4 linked regions of the Caenorhabditis elegans genome follow. The protein of the gene in region 4 interacts with the protein of the main gene of each other region in a pairwise test. Each region holds a gene or a part of one and is shown on either strand. Other genes may lie near its edges. The genes, in order: tbx-9, dmd-8, memi-2 and ceh-8.

The links.
Region 1: the proteins of ceh-8 (region 4) and tbx-9 interact in a two-hybrid assay, tested with the Caenorhabditis elegans proteins (one large-scale study listed by BioGRID).
Region 2: the proteins of ceh-8 (region 4) and dmd-8 interact in a two-hybrid assay, tested with the Caenorhabditis elegans proteins (one large-scale study listed by BioGRID).
Region 3: the proteins of ceh-8 (region 4) and memi-2 interact in a two-hybrid assay, tested with the Caenorhabditis elegans proteins (one large-scale study listed by BioGRID).

The regions. Positions count from the first base shown.
Region 1 is NC_003281.10:10,338,978-10,344,218, reverse strand, and holds tbx-9 (T-box transcription factor tbx-9), read left to right. Parts: upstream 1-2,360; 5' UTR 2,361-2,367; coding exon 2,368-2,660; intron 2,661-3,085; coding exon 3,086-3,161; intron 3,162-3,218; coding exon 3,219-3,371; intron 3,372-3,797; coding exon 3,798-4,154; 3' UTR 4,155-4,213; downstream 4,214-5,241. Other genes in the region: ttr-15 (Transthyretin-like protein 15), read right to left, coding at 4,969-5,216. UniProt on the Caenorhabditis elegans protein: Transcription factor. Involved in the control of early morphogenesis of the intestine, hypodermis and body-wall muscle. Involved in regulating expression of vab-7. Appears to have partially redundant function to tbx-8.
Region 2 is NC_003283.11:333,478-338,640, reverse strand, and holds dmd-8 (DM domain-containing protein), read left to right. Parts: upstream 1-2,190; 5' UTR 2,191-2,202; coding exon 2,203-2,338; intron 2,339-2,494; coding exon 2,495-2,667; intron 2,668-2,716; coding exon 2,717-3,235; intron 3,236-3,506; coding exon 3,507-3,788; 3' UTR 3,789-4,040; downstream 4,041-5,163.
Region 3 is NC_003282.8:13,398,263-13,403,047, reverse strand, and holds memi-2 (MEiosis-to-MItosis transition associated), read left to right. Parts: upstream 1-2,541; 5' UTR 2,542-2,542; coding exon 2,543-3,022; intron 3,023-3,071; coding exon 3,072-3,254; intron 3,255-3,297; coding exon 3,298-3,489; intron 3,490-3,539; coding exon 3,540-3,722; 3' UTR 3,723-3,980; downstream 3,981-4,785. Other genes in the region: cyp-31A5 (CYtochrome P450 family), read right to left, coding at 150-335, 910-1,004, 1,056-1,152, 1,200-1,603, 1,650-1,742.
Region 4 is NC_003279.8:8,244,141-8,253,135, forward strand, and holds ceh-8 (Homeobox protein ceh-8), read right to left. Parts: upstream 6,809-8,995; 5' UTR 6,757-6,808; coding exon 6,705-6,756; intron 5,911-6,704; exon of another isoform or gene 5,877-5,910; coding exon of another isoform or gene 5,831-5,876; intron 5,471-5,830; coding exon 5,208-5,470; intron 2,915-5,207; coding exon 2,817-2,914; intron 2,769-2,816; coding exon 2,640-2,768; intron 2,585-2,639; coding exon 2,476-2,584; intron 1,895-2,475; coding exon 1,715-1,894; 3' UTR 1,365-1,714; downstream 1-1,364. Other genes in the region: col-63 (Nematode cuticle collagen N-terminal domain-containing protein), read right to left, coding at 1-692, 742-808.

The sequences.
Region 1 (5,241 bases), on a different chromosome or scaffold from region 4:
TAGTTGACAATTTTTGGGTAACACTTTCGGGTGGCAAAGCATAGGCTGTAAAACACAAAGTTGATTTCTTAAGACTTTTCTGCTTCAATGCCGCATAACTCAGCTCACAATAACTGAATCAAAAAGTTGTCAATTAACAAATAGTTAGAAACTTTATGAATTTTATGTTGTTAGTAGATGACAACTTTTTAATAACGTCATTTTTCGCAATGTTATTTCGTTTTTATCGCAACAACTTTTATTTGAAATTTTTTATTTCCACTCAAAATTTCTTTCTAGCAAGAAACAATTCTAGGTGAGAACACAGATACATATCTTACTTTCTTTGTTTGACATAGACACCAAAATAGCTGCACATGATATTTTCAGCAAAATTAGACAAAACAATGAATGTCAGCACTTTGTTCTCGCCGCCACGTGGCAGACACGCGTACAACGAGGAGTTCGCACCTGTGGAGGAGGATATACATTTAATTAATAGGTATGGAATTGAATTAATAAATTTAAAATTTTATTTTGTTAGGGAAGGAATGTGATTTTTAAATTTTTTGAACAAGTGTTTTAGTGTTTTTAAAAACATTTTAAAAGCAGGAAACCTCAATTTTTGTGTTCCTGGGAAAAAAAAATTCAGAACAACTAATCAGTGATTGTAAACCTTATCACCTGTATATCCATTGACGCCAACTAACAATTGTGGAGGTTATAAATCCGCCACGATGTTTATCGACCACCTGATTTAGAGGTACCCCCCGTAAAAACACCGACTCGGAGAGTTTTGGGAAGAGTAAAGTTTTACAGCTTTTTTTTTGGTGTTTTGGAGATCAGTCTTATTTTCTAGGAAAATGGGGCTAATGGGGTCGGAGAAATTTGGGTTCAGATAACAATTTGGGAAACGATTATCTCGAAAAGCTTCGAGTTTACCGAATAGTTGCCAACTGACAAAATATAGCTCTGGAAATTATGAACAATCAGTTAGTTGACAAATTTTTGATAGCTGCATCCACAAAAAAGTTAGACCCCGGAAAAAAATTGAGTTTTTTTTTGAAAGTTGACATCTTTTTGATAGCTTTTGGGAAGACGAATATATCAAAATTATCCTGACTTATAGACTTAAAAGGTTTGCTCAAAAATTGCTCAGAAATTTTAATGGATCTGCAAAATTTGGAGAGTTTTTCCTAATATTTTTGAGCAATGTTTTAGAACATTCGTTATGAAATTCGAATTTTTAATATCACTTTATGTCTAAAAATGCAAAATAATTTTGATCCGTTAACCAATGTTTTCTTTTATCCATTTTCCTTCAGCTACCAATTTTTACACCTCCAGTCAATACTGTCGGTGTTCTATCAAAAGAGCCCACTACAACTAACCGGCTCAAAAATTTTACAACGTATGCTCTTTTGGAGGTAACCGACAAAAAAGGGGTATACTTGGAAATGGTATATTATCTGGAAATAGAAGGAGGGTTTGAAGATGGAATAATGGGTAATTGTGGAAGGTATGAAAATGTAAAATGGTAAAATCTTTATTTTGAAACATTAAATAAAGTTATTTTTTTCAAATTTCGGTTTTTATATGGTACAAAAAAATTCAGTTTACATTAATTTTTACTGTCATTCTTTCTTGAGAAAAGTGATCTCAAAGTAAAAATATACAAAATCCATACTGTCGATAAGCATGGTATACATAGCATAATTCTTTAATTAATAAGGAAGTTGTATCATCTTTAAATTTTGAACATTTTTTGAAGTTTACATAAAACCAACATTTTCGGACCGTCTTCTCTATTTCTATGCCACATCAGAATTTGATCTCCCAATTTTGTTTTGAAAGTATACCCAACTCTTTTGATCTACCAGTCAGCCGCCAAGTCTTCCCAGAATCGATAGCCGAGAGGGCCACGCGCACAACCTGCCCGCCCTTGCAGAGGGGTGTGGTTTGGCAATGAGGTGAGATGGGGTGAAGATGTGCACAATTTCTCACTTCTTTGTCTTAAATCACCATTTTTTTGTGATGACATCTCTATCTTATCGTGTTTCTTATTTTTCTATTTTTTTGTTTTCTTATTTTTGAACGGCGGGGATATCTCAGACGTTATCTCAAAACTGGCAAGAGATACCAAATAGTTGTCAACTAACAAAATATTGCAAATTTTATCATTGTTGCTTTGTTAGTTAACAACTTTTTGCTAGATACCACCGTTTTTAAGTTAGAATAGTTTTCCCGCTCCTCCTTCTCACTGGTACCACACTCTAAGCAAGTGTAGCTGCCAAACCGGTGAGAATATAACATTATATCTTATACCATTTTCCAACTTTTTTTTTGCTGTTCGTTTTCATAATATATTTTAACGTTTTCAGACAAAAAATGTCCAAAGTCAAAGTATCAATCGAAGGATCCCAAGAAACTCTCTGGAAGATATTCCACGCAGAAGTCAACGAGATGATTGTCACGAAGAACGGCCGAAAGTTGTTCCCAAAGTTGGAATATATAGTCGAAGGGCTTGATGAAAACAAGCTGTATGCAATAATGCTCCAATTACAACCAGTTGGAGAAAGTCGATTCAAGTTCAGCGGTGGAAAGTGGCAGGAAACGGGCAAAGCTGAGAAGCAGGTCGACGCGAAGAAGATGTGGCATGCTGATGGAGTTCGGAAGGGAAGGTGAGTGTGACATAGGAATTGGAAGATTAGAAGCTATGAAGATTTGTAAACTGACATGATTATCAAAATAGTGAGAACCATTTTGTCAATTGGCAACTTTTTTTAGCTCCGCCCTGGTATTACAACTTCAAAGCGCCATATCTCAGCGGGCTTGGAAGTTTTAAAAAAGATGTTAACTGGAAAATTGTTAACTGATTTATCATCTACAATTTGCCAGTTGACAACTTTTTTCTAGCTTGAGCCATTGAAGAGTTAGAGCTGCCGACACTGGCATTCAAATGCCTTTGGAATATTTTGAGGGTTACATCTCATCTAACATTAAAGTTTTCAAAGTTTGTCGTTTGTCAACTGACAACATAATTCAGATGAAAATAATTCTAAATTTGCTAAATTTATATCTTCAAAGTAACCCCAATTAATTTCAGTGACTGGATGTGGAGTTCGATTTGCTTTGATCGTGTGAAAATCTCCAACTATTCAGAGTCCAACAACGCTTCAATGGTAGGATTTCAACTTTAAAATTACTTGGCAATTTCCAATTTAAAATTGAAATTTCAGATTTACCTCAACAGCATGCACAAGTACATTCCAGTGCTGACAATCTACGAGTCTCCATCGGAGAGCCCTTTCTGCGTCCCACAATCCTCAAACCAAATCGTCGCCACCGCCAAATTCCCTCATACCGAGTTTATTGCAGTAACGGCTTACCAGGTTAGTATTGAGAGTAAGAGTATTAGCGCATGGATCTTATCTCGGAAGAATCAATATTTTGTGAACAATGGGAAATCTGGGAAGGAAGGGGGAAGTCTTGTCAACCATCATACTTATCAAGAAGTCGTTAACTAATAATTTGTAACCCTAGTTGTAAAGATTAATTAGTTAGTTGACAAGTTTTTAATAGAGTTAAAAGAAGGAGAGTTACACTTGCTCAAAATTTGGCTCTATTTATAAATTTGAAACTGCGCTACTTTAAGCACTCCTACCTCGCCAATAAAAAGAGCTATATAAAAGTTGTCAACTACAAAAATATTGCTCGCTTTGTGATCCATAATATGGTGTTTAACAATTTCTTAATAGATTCTTTGTTTTCAAAGATAGAGAGAGTTGAATAATAAACCTAATTTTTCCTCATTTCAGAACCAAAAAATCACCGACTTGAAAATCAAGCACAACAGTTTTGCCAAAGGTTTCCGTGACGGGAACTTGAGTCGCAAGAGAAGATCACCATCATATTCCGACGGCAGCAACTCACAGTCCCCATCGCCAAAATCCAGATCACCACCGGAGGTCGCACCTCTTCAGTCGATGCCTCCAATCAACCCATTTCTTTTTTATTTTCCCCATATGTTATCTGAAAATCTTCCAGTCCAATTTCCATTCGCTTTTCCATTTCTCTCGCCTCTCCCGTCGACTCCTTCCAGCTCGAGCAGTGAGCTGAGCATTGTGAAGGAGGAGGATCAGGAGGTAGAAGAAGATATTGATATTGTTGGTTGATAATTTTTATGCAAACTGGTCGCTTTTGATATCATGTAATCAAAATTTTTAATATATAAATATATAAAGCTTTATATTTTCAAAGAAACGACTTTTTGAAGACCCGCCGATTAAATTAGAAGTTTGTCGACTGAAAAAGGCAGCCTAGACTGCTAGCCAACAATTTTTATACCTACAATACTTAAAAATGTATTGTTTAAAGGAACACGTAGTTTTCTGAGTGGGTCTTGCCACGATCACAGTCATAGTGGTCGCTGCAGAACCCACATTTTTAGATTTGCTTATTTGATGTTGAAATGGAAAATTTTCAAGACATTACGAGAACACACAATTCTGAGGATGCGTATTGCGCAACATATTTGACGCGCAAAATATCTCGTAGCGAAAACTACAGTAATTCTTTAGAAGACTACTGTAGTCAAGGGTTCGACTTTTTGAATTGATGTTCAATTGATGTTCAATATTTTCCTCCTTTTCTTCTAGTCTGATTCATTTCAAAAATCGAGCTCGTAAATCGACACAAGCGCTACAGTAGTCTTTTGAAGAATTACTGTAGTTTTCGCTACGAGATATTTTGCGGTCAAATATGTTGCGCATTCTCATTAATTTTGTGTTTCCGTAATATTTCGTGCTTTGACTTCGTTTATTGTGATATCCACAAAGATATACTTGGCAAAATTGTCAACATAATCACGCAACTTTTCTTACAGTTCAAGGTTAAAATTTCAAGGTTTTCCAATAGTTTATTGTTGAATTAAAAGAGATAGAAAGTCCTTCCCTTCCAAACAAGCAAACAAACAAAAAAAACATTTTCTTAGCACTTCTCCTTGTCTTTAGCGGAAAGAATATCAAGAGTGACGTATGTCATATCATAGGTTCCACCGATCTTCTCCTTTGGAATCAAATACTCTGAAACACGCTTGCATCCGGCCTTCTTCACGTTGCAGTTGTGGGTGATTATGAGGTATGGAGAGATTGAGGTGATCTCGTCGTCGGATCCGGTAAGTGAGAACTCTCCTTCTTTGTTCGATTGCATTGAGGCGAGCTTGTCATCGGGGTCGACTGGAAAATTGAATACTAATAGTAC
Region 2 (5,163 bases), on a different chromosome or scaffold from region 4:
CAAAACTCAATAATTGCTTTTTTTGACTGTCCATAAATTTTTTTAAAATTGTTTTGAAAATTTTTATTTTGGTATTTTGTCATTTTACACAATAGGAGTGGTTTTTAACAATTTCTTAGCTGGCCCGACTGCATCTTCTACATGAAAACTCAGGAAAACCAGTGATCTCTCAAAACTTTTGAAATTTTTATGAATAGCATTGGCCAGCATCGCATTTTGAACCATCTTATCCAGTGACGCAAAAATTTGACTTGACCGAGTCAAGCCGGTGCTTATCCAGGTACTTTCGAACAACGTGGCTTGGAGCTATCAAAAATGATAAGCAGATTGAATTTTGACGTTATTGGTGTCAAAACCAATGTCACTAGGTATGGTTATTTTTAGGAGTGCAGGTTTTTTTTGGAAAATAAAAAAATGTAACTTCATTAATTTTTTCCAAGAATTTTTCTTATGGGTTGATTTTTTTCAGGCTTTCTACCTACCTCCAAGAAATCTTGTTGCATTCTATGTTTTCCTATTACCCCTATTCCACGTGACAAAATATAGATTTCCCCGGTGGGAGCAAGAATTCTTCAAAGATTACGGTAGAGCGTCTAGACGGTGGCAAAAAAACAAAACTTGTCGATCAGAAATGAGCATTTCCCAAATGAGCATAAACTAGTATAAAACAACTAGTTCCTACATGTTTTAGTATAGTTTTTTTAAACATTTTTTTTACTGGAAAAAATGTTTTTTTTGTGCAGCCGACAGTGATCGAGGACGGTACAGAATTTTTTTTTAACCTTGCGTGTAAAATTTGGTGCATTGGAGTCGGTGAACGAGGCTTTCGGGCTTGCTTGCCAGGCTCCTTTTCAAATTTAGATCGAATTTCATTGTTTAGAAAAAACATTTTAAAAAATTATTCCATTATTTAGAAAAAGAAAAAAAATCATTCAAAACAAAAAAAGCATGATAAAGGCAATCACAGAAATGGATTTAAATCGCCTAATAATTCAAACACAAGGGCTAAGCAATGCGAGAAAAAGATTAGCAATCGTCAAAATCCGCTACAGATTTTCTTATATTTTCCACACAAAATTTGAAACCACTCTGAGCGATTGATTTTCGACACAATTTGTCATCCGATTTGTTGAAACTTCTGAAAATCTTTTTAGTTTTAGTGTTTTTTTGTGGTTGTTATGAAACATTTTGCAATGATTTTCAGCTTGCTCAACTTTGAATTTTCCAAGGTTTCGTAGGCGTAGACCATAGGCGTAGGCCATTAGCCATAAGTGTAGGTCATAGGCGTAGGCAGTAGGCGTGGGTCATAGGCGTAGGCAGTAGGCGTAGGCCATAGGCGTTGGCCATAGGTGGAGGTCATAGGCATATGTCATAGGCGTCGGCCAGCAAGTTTTTCAAGTTTTAAAAAATTCGAGTGTTTTCAAAACGAGATGAGCACCACCTTTTTGTGAACAAAATGAAATAAATCGGCTTTTAGTCCAACTGCTCAGTTGCTCCATACTGATCCGCGTAAAACCCCGACCGGATTGCCCCTCCTTATCTACGCAAACTGCGAATCTACGTAATTTCCCCCATCGACATGAGAATTCCGTCATAGCTCCGCAGAGCCAAAATAGAATGTTTACGGCGAATTTTCTCGAATGAGTGGGGAGGGATGGCGGAGACGTTAGACATGGTTAGACAGCAATCAGGGATATTCAAGAAAGAGGCGGAGCCGGCAGATACAGAAAATCTTTCATTCCTGGATTGAAGATGGGAAAGGCGGATGAAATTTTATTTATTTATTTCGATTCCATTTCATTTGTGAATTCATTTCGATAGCTTTTTTGCTCCAAGGGGAGCTAGGTTACTGTAGATAAGGGAAATTTTTGGTGGCCGAAGAAAACTAGAAAAACTTCGGTCACGCGCCCAAGCCTCTACAACTTCCTGTTTTGCTTATGCTTTCCCTGAAAATTTCTCTGAAAGCATCGTCTATATAGCCCCCAGGGCCTTATCAGGCGACTAGTAAAACATGTCACAAGATTTTTTTTCAGACAAGTGACTGAAAGTACTGTAAATATTCCATTGACGCAGTGTCTATAAAATTTCAGCCAATCAGGTCATCAAGCTCAAGCATCCCTTATCTTGTAGCCCTCACAATTTCATTTTGTGCTTCAACTTTTCCAACTCTTGAAAAATGGAAAATTTCAGACTTACCTGATCATGTCCTCATCTTCCCTGTCATCTTCTTCAAATGCCTCATCGCTCAGTGCTCCAGAAGGGCTTTCACCAAACAACAGCCTCTCCCCGGATGTTGGAGCACAGAGATTTTTCAGCCAAGGGAAAAGGATCCCGAAAGGTGAGCTATAGCTTCTTAGCAGCCGACAGTTAATTGGTTTCACGAGAAAGGGTCAGTAGAAAAATGTATGGTTGGTTAACTGTCGGCTGCTGATTTTTTTTCAGAAATTAGTATGGCCTACGCCTAACATAGTTTTATTTTTTGTTAAATTTTCAGATGTGAAACGGCACTGTGGAATGTGCAAGCAGCATGGAGTTTTCGTAGAGACGCGCGGGCACACCTGCGAATATAGAAGTTGCGAGTGTGAGCAGTGTGACTTGGTCCGTAAGCGACGGGAGATCATGTCAACTCAGATTCGTCTCCGACGAGAGCAAGACAAGAAGTTCCAGGTACCTTGTGATTTTTTTCCTAATTTTCCTAACTATCCCCGTGTTTCAGCGTACCAATGATATCAGCGAGGCCAACGTGTTCCCAGGCTTCACAGGTGGGGAGGCAGATGAAAAAGCTGTCATGGAGAACATGAACATGTGCTATTTCTGCCAAAAATGCAAGAATCACAATGTGCTCGTCTGGAAGAAAAATCACAAAAAGGAGTGCCAATATTCCAGCTGCGAATGCCAACAGTGTAACTTGATTGATTCCCGTCGTGCCCTGGACCGGCATATTAAGAAGCGAAAAATGAGCATAAAGGGCAACACGGTTGAAGCTATCGCACCGAAAAGTCCCAAAAAAGAGGGCTCCACCACGGCTTCATCATCGTCACTCTCATCTTCTTCGGGCTGCAATTCGGACGAGTCGGCTTCATCCTCGGATTGCTCGCTATCTGGAATGCTATCAGAGAAGTTGAACATGGCTCCGCAGGTTCAGATGAAATTCGACTTCAGTGCCGGGGGATTTATGATTCCTGCAGCGACTTCGGCAAATGCAAGCACTAGTCCGGCTGGTTCTCCATTTGAGGTGAGGTTCAGATTTTCTGAAAATTTTTTCAGGTACAGCTTGAACCTGAAAAGGCATGTGGGCATGTAGGCATGTAGGCATGTAGGCATGTATGTATGTAAACCTGTAGGCATGTAGGCATGTAGGCATGTAGGCATGTAGGCATGTAGGCATGTAGGCATGTAGGCATGTAGGTATGTAGGCATGTAGGCATGCACTAGTCTCGTCCTAAAAACTGCTCTAAAAGGTTTTTTCCAGAATTTCTAAAATTTCTAAATTAAATTTTTTTCAGACAACATCTCCAATGCCGCTTCTCCTTCCGCATTCACCAATTGCTCTTCCACAACTTGCTCCATCAAGCCTACCGCTTTCATTTCTTACCGTACCCTCTCTCATGTCCACCGCGGCCTCACCATTTTTCACGGCTCCGCTTATGTACGGAGCTGCTCCAACTCTTTTCCCGAATCCTCTCCTGATGACCCCTATCGGAATGCAAATGTTGTTCCAGAACTTTCAAAATTTTCAGAATATCCGTGAGCTTAGCGCTGCAATTAGCTGCGCTGAAACCGATTGATTTTTCTTTTTAATTTTTCAAAAAAAAAAACAATTTCCAATCTGTGATTTATTGTCTTTTCCCTGTAAAACTCTAGTTCCTTCCCAGTTGCACCTCAAAAAGAGTAAAAACCCCATCGAAATTTTAAGCTGTGCGGGTTTTCAGTTCAAACATGATGATAATAATATTTTGATGTTTTTGTGTTTTATATTTCCAAAAACTTTTTTTTGATTCTGCAAAAGTGATAAATTAATAAAATTGTACTCTTATCAATTTATGACTCGACTAGAAATTGAATTATAAAGTCACGGTTTTTACAGAGAATTTTCCGAATTTTCAGCCACCATATCTGGAATTAAGCTTGGATTTAGAAATTTCACGGCCTTTTTTGCATAAAACGTCAGGAAGCAATCCCATATATTAAAAAAAAACTAAATGTTAAAATTCAAATATATATTTTGTAGAATTTTTTGTAATTTTTTTTCAAATTTTGCTATTCCAAAAATAAGCTTTCCGGCTAAATTGAGCAGTTTCACTTTTTTTGATTTTTTATTTGAGACGTGATCTGTCAAATTTGCATGCATTTTACAGCAAAAAAATTAATGTTAAGTTCAGGCCAGTTTTAGAGTTTCACCCAATTCCTTTCGGCCTGTCAAGTTTCCTTTAATGACAATGGTTGAAAATTTGAAAAAAATGGCCGAAAAATTCATTTACCAGTGAAATCTCACAATCAGATTTTTTTCAATTTTTGAAAAATTTAAAATAAATCTTTAAAAAATTAGAAATTTTGTTTCGGTTAACATGACCTGTTTTTTTGTATCTCTTCAAAAAATCTCTTATAAAAAGCGAACTGTAAAGTGTCGGCTGCTTCCTAGAAGTTCTCGTTGTCTTCACAAATCACAAATAAAGAAAGAAGTCATGTCACGATCGTGCCCTCGAGACGTCATATCAAATTCTATTGCTTATCAATGTTTCAGTGCCCAACCTGAATCCTGAGTCACCCGAGAAAATGTTCTTGTTAACGACTCGAGCCGGTACTAGTGATTTCATAAGTTTCTTATCAGCTTTATCAATAAAAAATGTTTTTAGTATCGTCTTCGTAAAAGAAAAATGGAATGCCGGTTTTGAGAATCACATAGAGCTTGTGATTTTTGAGATGACGTGAGGAAGTCAGGTAGTATAAAATAAATTACGTTTGAGTAACTTTAATTGGATTTACTTTGGTTTTTTATTGTTCGGTGCTCGCCACGACATCATGCCTGCGTGCCTGCCTACCTACGCGCCTTCAGGGTGTGGTGGCAGTAGGCAATCTTAGGCTAGCACGCCAAATGCTCAGGTTCTGCAAATTTGTTTTTTGGTGTTATAAAATTTCCCTTCTTCTCTATGTATCCTTATC
Region 3 (4,785 bases), on a different chromosome or scaffold from region 4:
GCAAGAATTTTCTCATTTTGCAATTTTTAATTTCTTCCGTAAATCGGCACCATTGAAAAACACGTAATATTCACTTTTTCACTTTTGTTGTGAATAAATGCGCTTTAAATTAGAAAAATACATTTTTAAGTCAAAACAAAAATTAAAACTTTCTATTACGGGAACACAAAATTCTGAGAATGCGTATTGTGCAGCATATTTGACGCGAGAATGCGAGACGACCTTCCATCTTATAATCGCTATCCTGTAGAGCTTCCTTTCTCTCGACAATTACTTTCTTCGTGAAATCATGAAGAATATGTAGGCATTTTTCATGAGTCCGTCCGTCTTCTGTTCTGAAAATTACAAATTAATTGTTAAATTATTAAAGATGTTTTTTTTCGAATTTTTTCCTTATTAGATTCGAAATTGTCTGAAAACACCGAATTTCATGATGAAACTTCTTGAAAACTTCTAAAAAAAAACGTTATGACGGCTCGAAAAATGACCTAATGTTAGATAAAATTTGAGATTTGACCGGCTTGAAACAAATTTTTTTACGAAATCACCGTCTAATTTTGGGTATACAATTTAATTATCTTGGGTTTACAACTCGATTTAGGTATTTTAAAGTCGATGGACGGCGAGATTTTTAAATTTTTTTACCTAATCTCGCCGTCCATCGACTTTAAAATACCTAAATGAAGGTGAAACCCCGAGATAATTAACTTATATACCCGAAAAAATTAGTTTCCAGCCGCTTGACAATTCGGTCAAATTTCAAATTTTAATTAATTTTAGGTCATTTTTTGAGCCGTCATAATTTTTTTTGAGAAGTTTTCAGACAATTTTGAGTCTAATAAAGCAAAAAAAAATTCGACTACATCATCTTTAATGATAAATTTAAAATTTTAAAACTAAATACCGTACAAATTGTAAATAAATGAATTCCACATCAACGGATTATTTGTTCGCTTTGAAATCAGCTTATTAATTGTGTGCACCGCCCATACATACTCGTTATTCTGAAAAAAAAAACATTTAGAAATTTAAATAGATGGAAGAATTTCCCGAACCTCCGCGAGTTGAGCACCGATAGCTTTTCCCATGGAAGTTTCGCAGATGATGTCAAGAGTGCAAAGGGTGATGACGGAGAGAACATCAACTTCTTCACTGAAATAAAACGTTCGAAAGAGTTATGTAAGAATTAAAATTCTCACTCTGCTACACCGAGGCAACACAATTTCTGAATCAAAATCTTCGATTGCTCGTTAAAAATCGGCAAGAAATCCTTGAGAATATCATAATGGAAGGTTGGTGTCAATAGTTTTCGCTTTGGACGCCATTGTTCCTTTTGGCTCGTCAAAATACTGATTCCAAGCCATGGCTCAAGCAAAACGTATGCGAACCCTTTGTTCAGATGTTTCGTGGAAGAGAAAATAGGTTCAACAAGATCGGCAGAGTAGAGCATAAGACATGGGAATGGACCAATCCAGAGAAGACACATCCGTGGATCTGGATACAAATATCCCATTCCAATCACTTGATTCATGAATCCCTCTGGATCGGGCTTTGTGATGAGTCCGTGACCGACGATTGGGTATGATCGTGGTTGGTTGAGGTGCTGAAAGTTTATTCAATTTATCTTTAAATGAATTTTGCAATCAAACCTTCAAAACTTGACGCATTCTCAAGTGTTTGTAGATAAGCCAAGCAATCACCGTCGCCGAAGCGAGAAGTACAGCGGGGATGATAACCCCCATTGTAGAATCTTCTGAAATAATTTATTTGAGCGAAAAAAACGAGCAAAAAGCGTTGAAAACTCGAGGAAAAGCCTGAAAATCGCAACAAAACAAACGTTTTTTGATTGAAAATTCAAATTTCTCCCACGCTTTGTCGAGACCTATGTGAAAATTGTTATGCGCCTTTAAAGAGTACGGTAACCCAGAAAAGACGAATTTTTTTGAGAATTATTCGTTTCAGCTTTTTTTAAGACGAGCACAAAGCATCAAAAGCGTTTTAAAAATAAGAAAAACGTTTGTTAAATTTTTTCGATGCTGAAAATATTAAAAAATCGCAATAAAAAGAACGAATTATAAGTAAAAAGTCAAATTTAACTTGCGTCGTGGTGATAGCCATGTGAAAATCTTCAGGCGCCGCCTTTAAAGAGTACGGTAGGCTTGAGAAAGTTCTCGAACGAATTTTTGTTGTTTTCTGATATTTAAATCTTGATTTAATTATTAAAAAGTTCCAATCACTGTTAATTTTTCATTAAAAAAAGTGAATAAAACAAATCCAAAAGTATTTATTTTTGAATGAATATTGTAATTTTTATGAATGATCTCCCCGCGAAAAATCAGCGCAACAATTTCATTATTTTAGGCCCAACAAAATTTTTTGATCGTGTGAATTCTTCTTCTTTGCTGATGTATTAAGCTGATGCTCAGAGAGATTTAATGAATCTTTTTCATAGCTTTATCGGTAAATTATTCTTAATCTGCAAATCACTTGAGCACATTGTTTTCTTCTTTTCCATTAATTTTTTACACCAAAATTTTTCAGAATGTCAGCTCCATCTCGCACCGTTCTTCGCGAATTGACAGCGACCAGATACGTGGTCAACTACAACGAAGAAGATCACCTGGAAACCGCTCGAGCCGGTTGCTCTGCCCTCCCACCACAACCCAACATCAATCATGATGTAATTATCGAAGGGCATGGAGAAGACGTGGAGCTCGTCGACGATCAGAACTACCGTTCCCTGCATCGTATCGATGAGACTCCAAAGCTCGTCGACAAGAAGCCGAGCAAGACAGTCATCCGCGATGAAGCTGTCAAAGTGCTCAGAAGCATTCAAACAATGCCGATTGAAAGTCTTCGTCTCAAGCGCTACGACTTCTTCTCGCAAAGATGGTTCAACACGACCAGAGAATCGGAGAAAGCGCTTGTCGAGCACGTGCTCCTTCATCCCAATCAGCGACCACACTATTTCGCCGCTCAGTGCCGCATGCTGTTGGTCGAGGATATCTCCAGTTTGATTCTGGTTAATTTCTTGAGAATATTTTTCCTGAAAGAATTAAATTTAATCTCAGACTTCCTTCCTGGCCGAGCCGAAAGAGACGGGTCAAAATGTGGTTCGATTCGCGATCCAGGCAACGACTGAAATGCCATTCCATCTATTGTTTGCTATGCTCGAACAACTGGAGATGGAAAACGAAGGATTCCAGATGACAGACAGCTTTGTGGTGGCAACGTTGAACCGATCACAGGGCAGAGTACGAGAAACAGTTTTCTGTTTCATGCCAATAACTTTTTCAGACTACCACTCGTCACCTGCGAACCACAAACTGCCGGGAATACGGAAATCTCGAGCCAGGACTCGATTCACAAGGCCGACTGATGGCCTCGACTGCATCAATCACGTGTTCTATCCGAGGAAAGCGCCACGTGGAAACGAGGATCGTGTACAATAACAACTCGAACGCCAGGAATACTTCAGGGAGAAGTAGAGTGAGTTGAGCAGCAATAAAATCTCGATTTTCAATTTATGAAATTTTCAGTACATCGAATTGGAGCAAACAGTGAAGTGCAAGAACCGACGTGTGCTGATTGTCGAAGATCCAGTCGAAATCCACGAATTTGAGATCGAAAAGGACATGATCCCGCTGGGAAAGGGAATTGTGCCAGTCGAGGACCTGATCACGTTCCTCGAGACATTCAAACTGGATGAAGAGGACGAGTAACTCCAGACATATGTCCTATAATTTGTAATGTACATAATTCTGTATTATTGTATCAGTGGTTCTTGTTGAATATATCAACTAACTTTCCCCTTTATTTTATTTTCCTTTTTTGTTTTGGTCGTTTCCTGTATATAGATTCTCCGCTGCCCCAAACTATTTTGCTTATGTTTAACATGTATATTGCTTGAATTAACATTGCCAGAATATGAACTGGTTGATTTTGCAATCTTTTTAACGATGAGATGAATTATATATTACATTCAGTAGTTGTCTTTATAATATTTGGAATTTAAATTACTTTACTCCAAAAAACAACTTCTTTTTACTTTACTCCAAAAAACAACTTCTTCCGGTTACTCATATCCGTTTCTCCACACTCACCTTTGATCGTTTTCCAACAACTTTTCCTCCTCTCTAAATTTTGTTCGAGTTCTCACTCTCACCACGTGCGGGGCTCCAAATAACAGCTGCTGCCTCTGAAATGTCATCGCGAGGCTAAAGATTTCCATTTCTCACAAAATTTGCCGTTTCGGCATATAATCTGTGCTCTGTGTTGGCTGGCCGACGATGATTGAATTGGCTCATTGGCTCATTTATGCGTACTTGTGAGTTTTAAAAATGGTTTGCCGGTTTGCCAATTTGCCGGAAATTTGCCGGTTTTCCAATTTTTCGGAACTTTTCAATCCCGGCAATTTTCCGGAATTTTTCCGGTTTGCCAATTTGCCAAAGCTTTTCAATTCCTGCAGTTTGCCGGAATTTTGCCGTTTTGCCAATTTGCCAGAACTATTCAATTCCGGCAGTTTCCCGATTATCCGGAAATTCGCCGGTTTGCCAATTTCCCGGAACTTTTAAATTCCGGCAATTTGCCGATTTGCTTAAAAATTGCCTGTTTGCCAATTTGACGGAGCTTTTCAATCCCGACAAATTTCCGATTTGCCGGAAATTTGCCGGAGTTTTTCAAGTTGCCGATTTGCCAGAATTTTGAAAATTTTCCGGAGCTTTTCAATTCCTGCAATTTGCCAATTTGCCGAAAATTTGCCGGTTTCCCAATTTGCCGGAACGT
Region 4 (8,995 bases):
TCCAGCTGGCCCTTCTGGTCCTTGTTGTCCATCTTGTCCATTCTCTCCTGGTTCTCCATCTCTTCCTGGTCCTCCTGGAGCTCCTGGTGCACCAACTGGTCCTGGTTGTCCTTGTCCACGAGTTCCGTTCTGTCCAACTGGTCCGTCCTCTCCTGGTGGTCCTGGAAGTCCTGGAGTTCCTTCATCTCCTTCTGGTCCATCTGGTCCTGGTTCTCCATCTTTTCCATTTGTTCCATCAACTCCAAAATCTCCATCTGGTCCTGGATGTCCTGGGAATCCATTTGGTCCTGGTGGTCCTGGTGGTCCAGCTGGGCACTTCACATCCTTATTGAAGTCAGCCATACGATCCCCTTCAGTTGAGTCACTTCCTGGATTTCCAGCTCTTCCAGCTGGTCCATCATCTCCTGGGGTTCCAGGATTTCCTGGTGGTCCTGGTGGTCCAGCTGGACAATCCTTTGGTTGTGGTCCACAATTGCAACCAGAAGAACCGGATGCAGATCCAGCAACTCCAGCATCTCCATATCCTCTTCTGAATCTTTTAAGGAAGGTCTCGAATGGTTGAACAGCATCTTCACGTGGAACCATTGTAGTCCAAGCATCTTCAGCAAGAGTTTTGAATTCAGCAAGATCCTCATATACTCCTGATTGGAAGGAATTAATGTCGTGAAGGACAAACAGTGCGGCAAAAATAGCTGAAAATTGAGACATTTCGTGAGCAGAATGACTTAAAAATGAATTTACCTGGAACAATAGCAACTCCGCAGAGTGCAACGGCAGTACCAGCAACCAATTGTCCAGATGTTGTCATCGTTGGATGATGTCTATTCGTAAAAATCGTTGCCATTATATACGTATCCAAAAAGCTCAAAAAAAGTAGATCTGCGTGTTGCATAATAGCCAGTTTTTCGCTTGGAAAGGATCCCCTATCCGTCTACTTTTTTCTCAATTTTTCGGCGATACACCTTCCCTTTATCGAGTGTTATTTCACATAGCAATAACCGATGGGTGTATGTGGCTTAGAATTTCAAGAAATTAATGATTTTTCTTCTTGTGGTTTGAATATTATTTGTTATATTTGTATTTTAACCATTCAGAGTTTTCATAACTTTCATGAAGGTAAATGTACGTTTCGACGAACTGTAATGCTACAATCTTCTTCCCTTGCATAACATGACAAGCTCATCATGTTTTAGAAAATTATTTCTGAAAACTCATTGGTGGCGATGCTCCAATTGTAAGAACAAACTGATACAGATAATCTGGCTGAATCATGAGAAAATACTTCAGAAACTTCTTGCTCTTCGATTTATCTGTAACTTTTCAGCAAAACAATAAAACATAGCTCTAATCTTTGTTAAATTAACTTCTCTGAATTCATACTCAATCTTTAATTAATTTAGTTGCAGTGACCTCAGCGTCCAATTCATAATCATTGTTTCTAAGACGGCACTTCCTAGAACAGTTTCATCACCGGTCTGCAATAAATGAGACAGCCGGCTGCTAGACGATAGTTGCTGCGGCCTCCGACATATCACGGGTTTCGCGCGCCACTCTAAAATGTGTTAGGTGTGCGCCGCCCCCTTGGAAACTTCTGTTTATTGTGCCGAAGGAAGATTGAAGAAATGGGGGATATTTGAAGAAAAAATCATAAAATCAGTAGATTAAAAAAAAACATGAGTAAAATCTAACATTCGTAATAGTTTTCCATATAAAATCAACAATTTTCCTGACTATGAGTAAGTTGTGGTGGCTCAAAGTGAATTGGATAGGGGAATGGCATTGGATATTGATTAAATGCATTGGAAAATGATTGATTTGGAATATAATAAGGGATAAATGGTGGATGATATTCCGAAATGAATGGACTACTTGTCGATGGTGTTTGAGGCGATTCCTGGAATTTTTACGCGTTCAATTTGAAAAATTCATGGTCAATTTTATACACATTCAGTAATTTTACAGAAAAATAAACATTAAGCTTATTCAGACGCGAAAATTCGATATTTTTAAGCCAAAAATACGGTACTTGGTGTCGGCGCGTCGCTTTTTTGTTAAATATATACATGTGTGTGCCTTTAAGGAGTACTGTAATATCAAACTATCGTTTCTGTAGCATTTTAATTAAATTTTCATCCTTTTTCATTAATAATTTTTTAATTAAAAACTATTACGGGAACAATAAATCATGAGAATGCGTACTTGGTGCATTTTATTTGACGCGCGATATCTCTTAGCGTCAAATAAAATGCACCGAGTACGCATTCTCATGATTTATTGTTCCCGTAATAACAAGTCGTAAGAATGATTTTTCGAATGAAAAATCCACGAATATTCCGCAACAACGAAAGCTTTAAATTACAGTACTCTTAAAGGCGTACAGCCGTTTTCTTGAATTTTTAAAAAAATATTTTTTCTTCACTGAATTTCCTTCACTTTCTAGGCGAGTCGTAAGCTTTTTATTTACTAGAAACATACTTTTTTCATTGATTTCTTATCACTGTCTTCGAAATTCAAATGAAAAACGTTTCCAGTTTTGCTGACGTGCGTGTTGTCCGCCGGAGTCCCATATTCAGCGAATGGAAACCTGAAAACCAATTTATATTGATTTTAATCTAGAAATTAAACTTTTTTAAACAAACCCATAAACTTCTTTTCCCTCGGAAGTCTTGAAGAATTCATCGGAAATTCCATTGTTATGAGTTGATGAAAGTGTATTTGCTGGAGGAAGCATTGGCGGTGTATCTGTCTTATTCTCACTCATCCATGACCTAAATGTGATAACTCTATTAGACGGGCATTTATCATAAGAAGCGAACCAAGATGGCATTGTATCTTTCAGTGAATGCTTCTCCTCTCCTTGACAATCCTGCTTCTCTTGACGGCGAAATTTAGCTCGGCGGTTTTGGAACCATACCTGAAACAGAAGAAAGTAAAACATTTAGAATTGAATAGGACATTTACAGAAAAGTCAGAACATAAAAGTTACCTAACGTTTATAACAATTGACCCAATTTTTTAAAATATAATATTCGTTTCTGATTTTGCGATGATTTTTTGTTGTTTTTCAAATAAGTATAACTCGAAAACTACAGTAGCTCGCAAAAAGATTTTAACTAAACAAATGTTTCCCATAATTTTTTCTACAATTTTTTTTGTTGACAAAATTTTACCATCTGCACTCTGGAAGAAATTACAGTGGAAAAAAATCACGTCCAGGTGGGAGGTTTGAGAGTTTCGTTTTTTCAAGCTTCAAAAATTCTAACGTAAACTTCCCGACCATTGCCAATTCTTTATAAAAATATTTTCTAGGCGACTTACATACTTACGCAACATTTATGATAAGTTTGTTACACCATCCATTAGTTGCACCATCCATTAGAAAACCAAAGGCTTCAATTTTCAAAACTTAAATTTCAAATGTAGATTTTGAATATCTGATTTAAAATAAAGTTCCTCCCCAATTTATTATTTTCCCATTCGACTTCTCCGCCACTATTTCCCTCATCTACCGTATACCAATTAGTAAGTTGTCAATCTCTATGCTCCCTTTGCCCCATCTTGTCCATTAAAGTGCCATGTTTTTACTTTCTTCTCTTGTTCCTCCTAACATCTTTCTTTATCCACCACCTACAGTAATCCCATCAAGAATGTGTAAACTGTCTTGATGAACGCTCGCTCTTTTTACGGGAAACTCAGTCCGCCGGAAAATTACACCAAGTATACCGAATTAGAAATAAAGGAAAAACCAACAGAAATCCGATTTTTTATTTCTCAAAGTTACTCAAAAAGCTCCGATTGTTTGACTGAAAATATTGAAAAATCTAATGATTTTCATGTGTTTTATAGATCATTATATCTTATAGAGAATATACGTTAAATGAATTGTCTAAAAATATTTTTTCGGAGCATTGTCAAATTTCATAATATAAATTGTTAATCTATAACCACCCCCCCCCCCCCCCCAATTTACAAATAGAACTTCATTTTCATTTTTTCAAAGTCCATCGTAATGTACTTCTTCACTCCCCAGCATCCATATTTTTCCTTGTATGACAACAATGTGTCGAGACTCGGCGAGGTAATCCTTAAATTGGTAGGATGTAAGTGACGGAAAAGAAAAAGAAATTTGAGAAGACAATGTCGATTAGTCAGATGCTTATCTTCTTCTTCTTCTTCTACTGTTTATTGTTTGTCCCCCTTTTGACTCAAAAATCAGAAGAGCATAAGGAAGTGTGACAGGAGTGCTAACCTGCCAATTTAACACTACTAATTGTTCCGGATGAGATCAGTTTTCACAGCTGCATGGAAAAAGGACAAGTAGGGTCATGGACAAGAGCAAATAGTTCGAATTTTAATTGTCATGAGCTCTCGAGTGGAGTTATATTCATAATTATATTAAAGAATGAAAATATGTGAATTCACTTTTGTGCCATGTATATGTTAATCTTTTACTACGCTGGATAAATTTTTTCGTAAACTAAAAAAAATTCGAAATTGAACATTACCGTATCCAAATTTGAAAATGTTTTAATTACCAAATCGCAGAGTATTTCAAATTTTCTGTTAATTTTGAGAATTACAAAAAATATCAAATTTGACAATATAAATTGTTAATCTCTATAACCCCCCCCCCCCCCCCATTTATTAGATAGCAATTCAAATTCTCGCTTTTCGAATAAAGTCGAATCTCCAAAAAAACAACAAGAGCTTCCACTGCAGTCATTTTCATATTGAACAACACTGGCTAGTCGACCGTGAATTTTCAGTTTTACTCTTGTGAATAATATATACTATTTAAAAAAAAAAAATAAGTTTTATTTCAGCAAAAAGTTAAAGCAAAAGATGTTCTAAAACAAAGAGGCACTATTGTAAAAATAATAAGTTCTTGGTGACCCGTAAATTTTCAGATTCAAGGAAACCTCCGTTTTTTTGCGATTTACCAGAACTGATTCATATGTTACAATATAATTTTTTAAAATTTCATATTGAAGACGGAATGCCAAAATATTCTCAAAATGGAAATTTTAGATTTGCCAAAATAGTCAGTCTAGTTTTGGTACATTGCAAAAAAATTGTGTTGGTTATTCTGGTAAACTTAAAAAATTGATATGTGAAAACTGATTAAATTCTGTTTTTAATTTAACAGTAAATAATAAAATTTCAATATTTTTCGCTGCTCTACTCTCAGATAAAAAATATGTTCTCACCTGAACTCGAACCTCTGGCAATTGAACTTTAGCAGCCAATGTTTCTCTTGCATAAACATCTGGATAATGAGTTTTATCAAATGCAGCTTCAAGAGCATGAAGTTGAAATGTCGTGAATGTTGTACGATTTCTACGTTGCTTCTTGTCTGCTATCTTATCTCGATTCTTTCGTGATGATGATGATTTTGATGGAGAAGAATCAGATTCAAATGAAGAAAATGAGTCGGATGGTTTGTATGTTGTAAATGAGGAAAACGCCGAAACTGAAAAAAAAAATGAGATGAGTTTAGGAAAAAGTTGAATAATTGCTTTCGAGAAACATTTGATTTCTGAAATTTACGATGGCTTATTGTATGAATGGTTTAATTTCGAATAAAAGGGTTTATGTGCTTTTTTACGGAAGAATTTTCTCTAGAAACGGATAATCGCATTTTCAATGTCAGTTTTTTAATCCGCAACGACGAGGAGTTGGGAACTACAGTACTGAAAACTGCCAGAAAATCCGGTACGATTGCCGGAAATTTTGGGCTTAAATCGGTCGTATCGAGACCGTGTACCGCATTCTTCTGGCAAAATTTAGAATCTGGGTGATATTTATTCTGATAAGTAATAAGAATCGTTACCATCAGTCCAAAATCCAGGATAATAAAATCCCTTTGGAATGTTCATTAAAGAAATAAATACCTAATATGTTTTTAATTCAGATTTGTTGTTTAGAAATGTAAAATGAGAATGCGTATTTTGGCGCATATCTCACCTGATAGCCTTGGAAAAGAAACGTATGCTTTTCACATGACTTTTCTTCCAGCAGCTTCTCGAGGTCATTTGGGGATTACTCATTTTATTAGAGAACTTTTGTTAGCGTTGGTAGGTTGTGTTGACAAGACTTCATATCAGTTAAAGTTTACTATTTTGATTGAAAAACTTGGAGTATTTTATAGTATTTTAGTTTAAGAAATTTGAGAGCGAGAAAGAAAATTAGATTTGATTGATCTAGCTTGAGATGCTGATAATACTTTAAAAGTATCAGTTCAAACATGCATCCCTGAAAAGTGAAAAAAAAGTGAAAACGTAACCTTTAAGCTCGTGTTTTGCAATGTGGCGTTAAGGTTCTACTGCATGATGTATTAAAATTTCAAGAAAAATGCTTGTTGGGAACCCCGACGGACAAAGTTTTAATACTCTTTCACAGTTAAATTCGAATCTAGATTTCTCATTAACATTTCTCATTAATCTAAAAAACAGAGATTTTGATTTTTTTTTAAATTTTGAAATTAAATCAAACGTTCTTGAACATATCCGACAAATCAAGCATATGAATAATCTCCAATTTTCAAACGAAAAAAAAACAACTAAAATTCCATTCAATTAGAGGGGGTGGAGGTGGAGCCCCAAAAAAGCTCGCAAATCGAATTTGGAAATAATTTGGATATAATTTGACAAAATAGGTGAATTGAATTACCAAATTTGTAGAGACTTCAAACATCAAAAACTCACAATTTGGTGTTATCGATGACGTGGCAGAGTTGTTGTCAGTTGGATTGCTCATCCCGGATGACAGGACAGGAAAAATTGAGGGCAGCAGGGTGGCAGAATATATTGGGGAGGAGATTGACTCCAGTTTTCTAGGGGGGAATATTTTGGAGCGAGGGGAGGAGCCATCCAATAAAAGAAATCTAAAGAAGAACTGTGTGATGGGAAGCAGCAAAGGGAACAAGCTGGAATATCGGGAGGAAACCATAAATTGTCATCATAAAATTTATATTTCGTGCTCCTTCCTCAATCAGGTCGCATGCTTTATGTTCAAGGGAATTCAATGCTTAAATAAATACAGTATGCGTTTTGGCACATGTTCAGCATATCGGGAAAAACGTTTCTAGCTGGTTAAGTGTCTTTTGAAGTAGGGATTTATCAAAAATTGGTCAAATTGCAAACCATAAAAGTTTTTCTACATTAAATAAGTTGCTATGCTTGCAACATTTTATACTAAACAGCTTACAACCTACGTGATATTTTTTCCCAATTGTAATAAAACACAGCGTCTCTTAGAGGCATTTATGTAACCGTACAACACCTTTTGCTCAGTTGAAAAATGTCCCGTAGGCCAAATGTATATATATATATATATATATAGGGTGCGCCAAAAGTATGGTAACACGTGAAGCGCTCTTTTAAATGGGTTTTTTCGCGCGACTGCCACTTCACACGTACAATTTTCTATAGAATACTGATAGCTGAATAAATTTCCTTCAATTTGACCTAAAATTTGTAATGTTTCCCAATAAGGTGCAATCTTTATCGCCTCGGCAATTTGACGATCCCTGTCGCCGAAACGGTGTTTTGGCACGCGGCACCTCCAACACAAACGCACCTCCGACGGACGCCAATAATTTTCAGATGTATGATTTTCATGTTAAATCCAAAGTTTAAAAAGTTAAGAAGCGTTTTTGATTGTTTTCGTAGCATATAAAAATTTTATGTGTCGACACTGGCGCCTAGCAAGAACCTTTGAATATTTCATGAAATCAACTTTGCGAAATTTACTCAGTTTTTTTTTGTCTTCACAAGGTGTAACGACTCACAAAATCATCCGAGCTCAATCTTCTATAAAAATTCTTGAAAGTCAGATCAAAACGTGTCGAAAAGTACTAAAATTAATTTTCTTGGATACTGCTGCCGCCGCCCACATCCACCTTTCTGGCGACTGTATCATTCAAGGCGTCTTTGTCATTCAAAGTACTGCCACAGTCATACCATGACAGAACTTTTTTGGATTTTTGTTTTTTAGGAATCTCTAGACCAAGAGCATTCTTTGAACTATAAAAACTTGTAAGACACTTGTGGATTCCTCGAGAAAAAGTGTAGAAATCCCGCAGAGTGCCTACTTGCGTGCCAAAAAATTGAGATCTCAAAAGTTCTGAGGTCCTGCAGCGATGCGGATGGGGATATTTTGAAAATTCAAAACGTTAATCGCACCCTGTATATATAATCCATCATATAGATCAATTTTCATGTAACCTATCGTATCGAATTAGCAGCTAAGCAACTAAGCCTAAGGACCTAGGTCTGGTGACCATGCTTTACTTCGGTTTTTTAAAGTATTCATCTTTGTTCTTTTTAATATTGTATCGTATATTTTTTTAATTTTTAACTTACACATAGACTGCGATGCGTTCTTGAAGGGATATTCTGTGCTTGATTGGAAGAAGAGTTATTACAGTATCTAACACTGTCCACGAATTCCAGAAATTAATTTTTTGCCTTATTTTATCATCTTTTTAAGTACTTCTTGTTTTAAAATATTAGATTGCTGGCCTCGATCTCCATCGGGTTGTTGCAAAAACCTCGTATCTCTGAACTCGTGACTTTTACATTTGTTTATCATAAACTCCGAAACCTACCTTCCGTATACTCCCTGGATAATTAAAACCCCACCAAATATCACTATAGATGCATTACTTTCATAATTTTCACACATGATCTCGACGATAATGTGGTCAAGCTACACAAAAACATTTCGATTGGGTTAGTTATTTAGTGGGACCGTTATCTTTGTTGCGTTTACGGAACGAAAATACGGTACCCGGTCTCGACACGATCGAACAATTTTAAATTAAAACGATTGTGCGCCTTTAAGGTGTACAGTAGTTTTCCCACTTCGCTATTTCCCAATTTTTAGATTTTTCTCGTTTTCTATTTCAAAACGTCTAACTTCTGTTATTCACATTAAATAGCAAGTGTTTAAATTTTAAAAAAAAGTCGAAGAAAAGTACTGTACACTTTAAAGG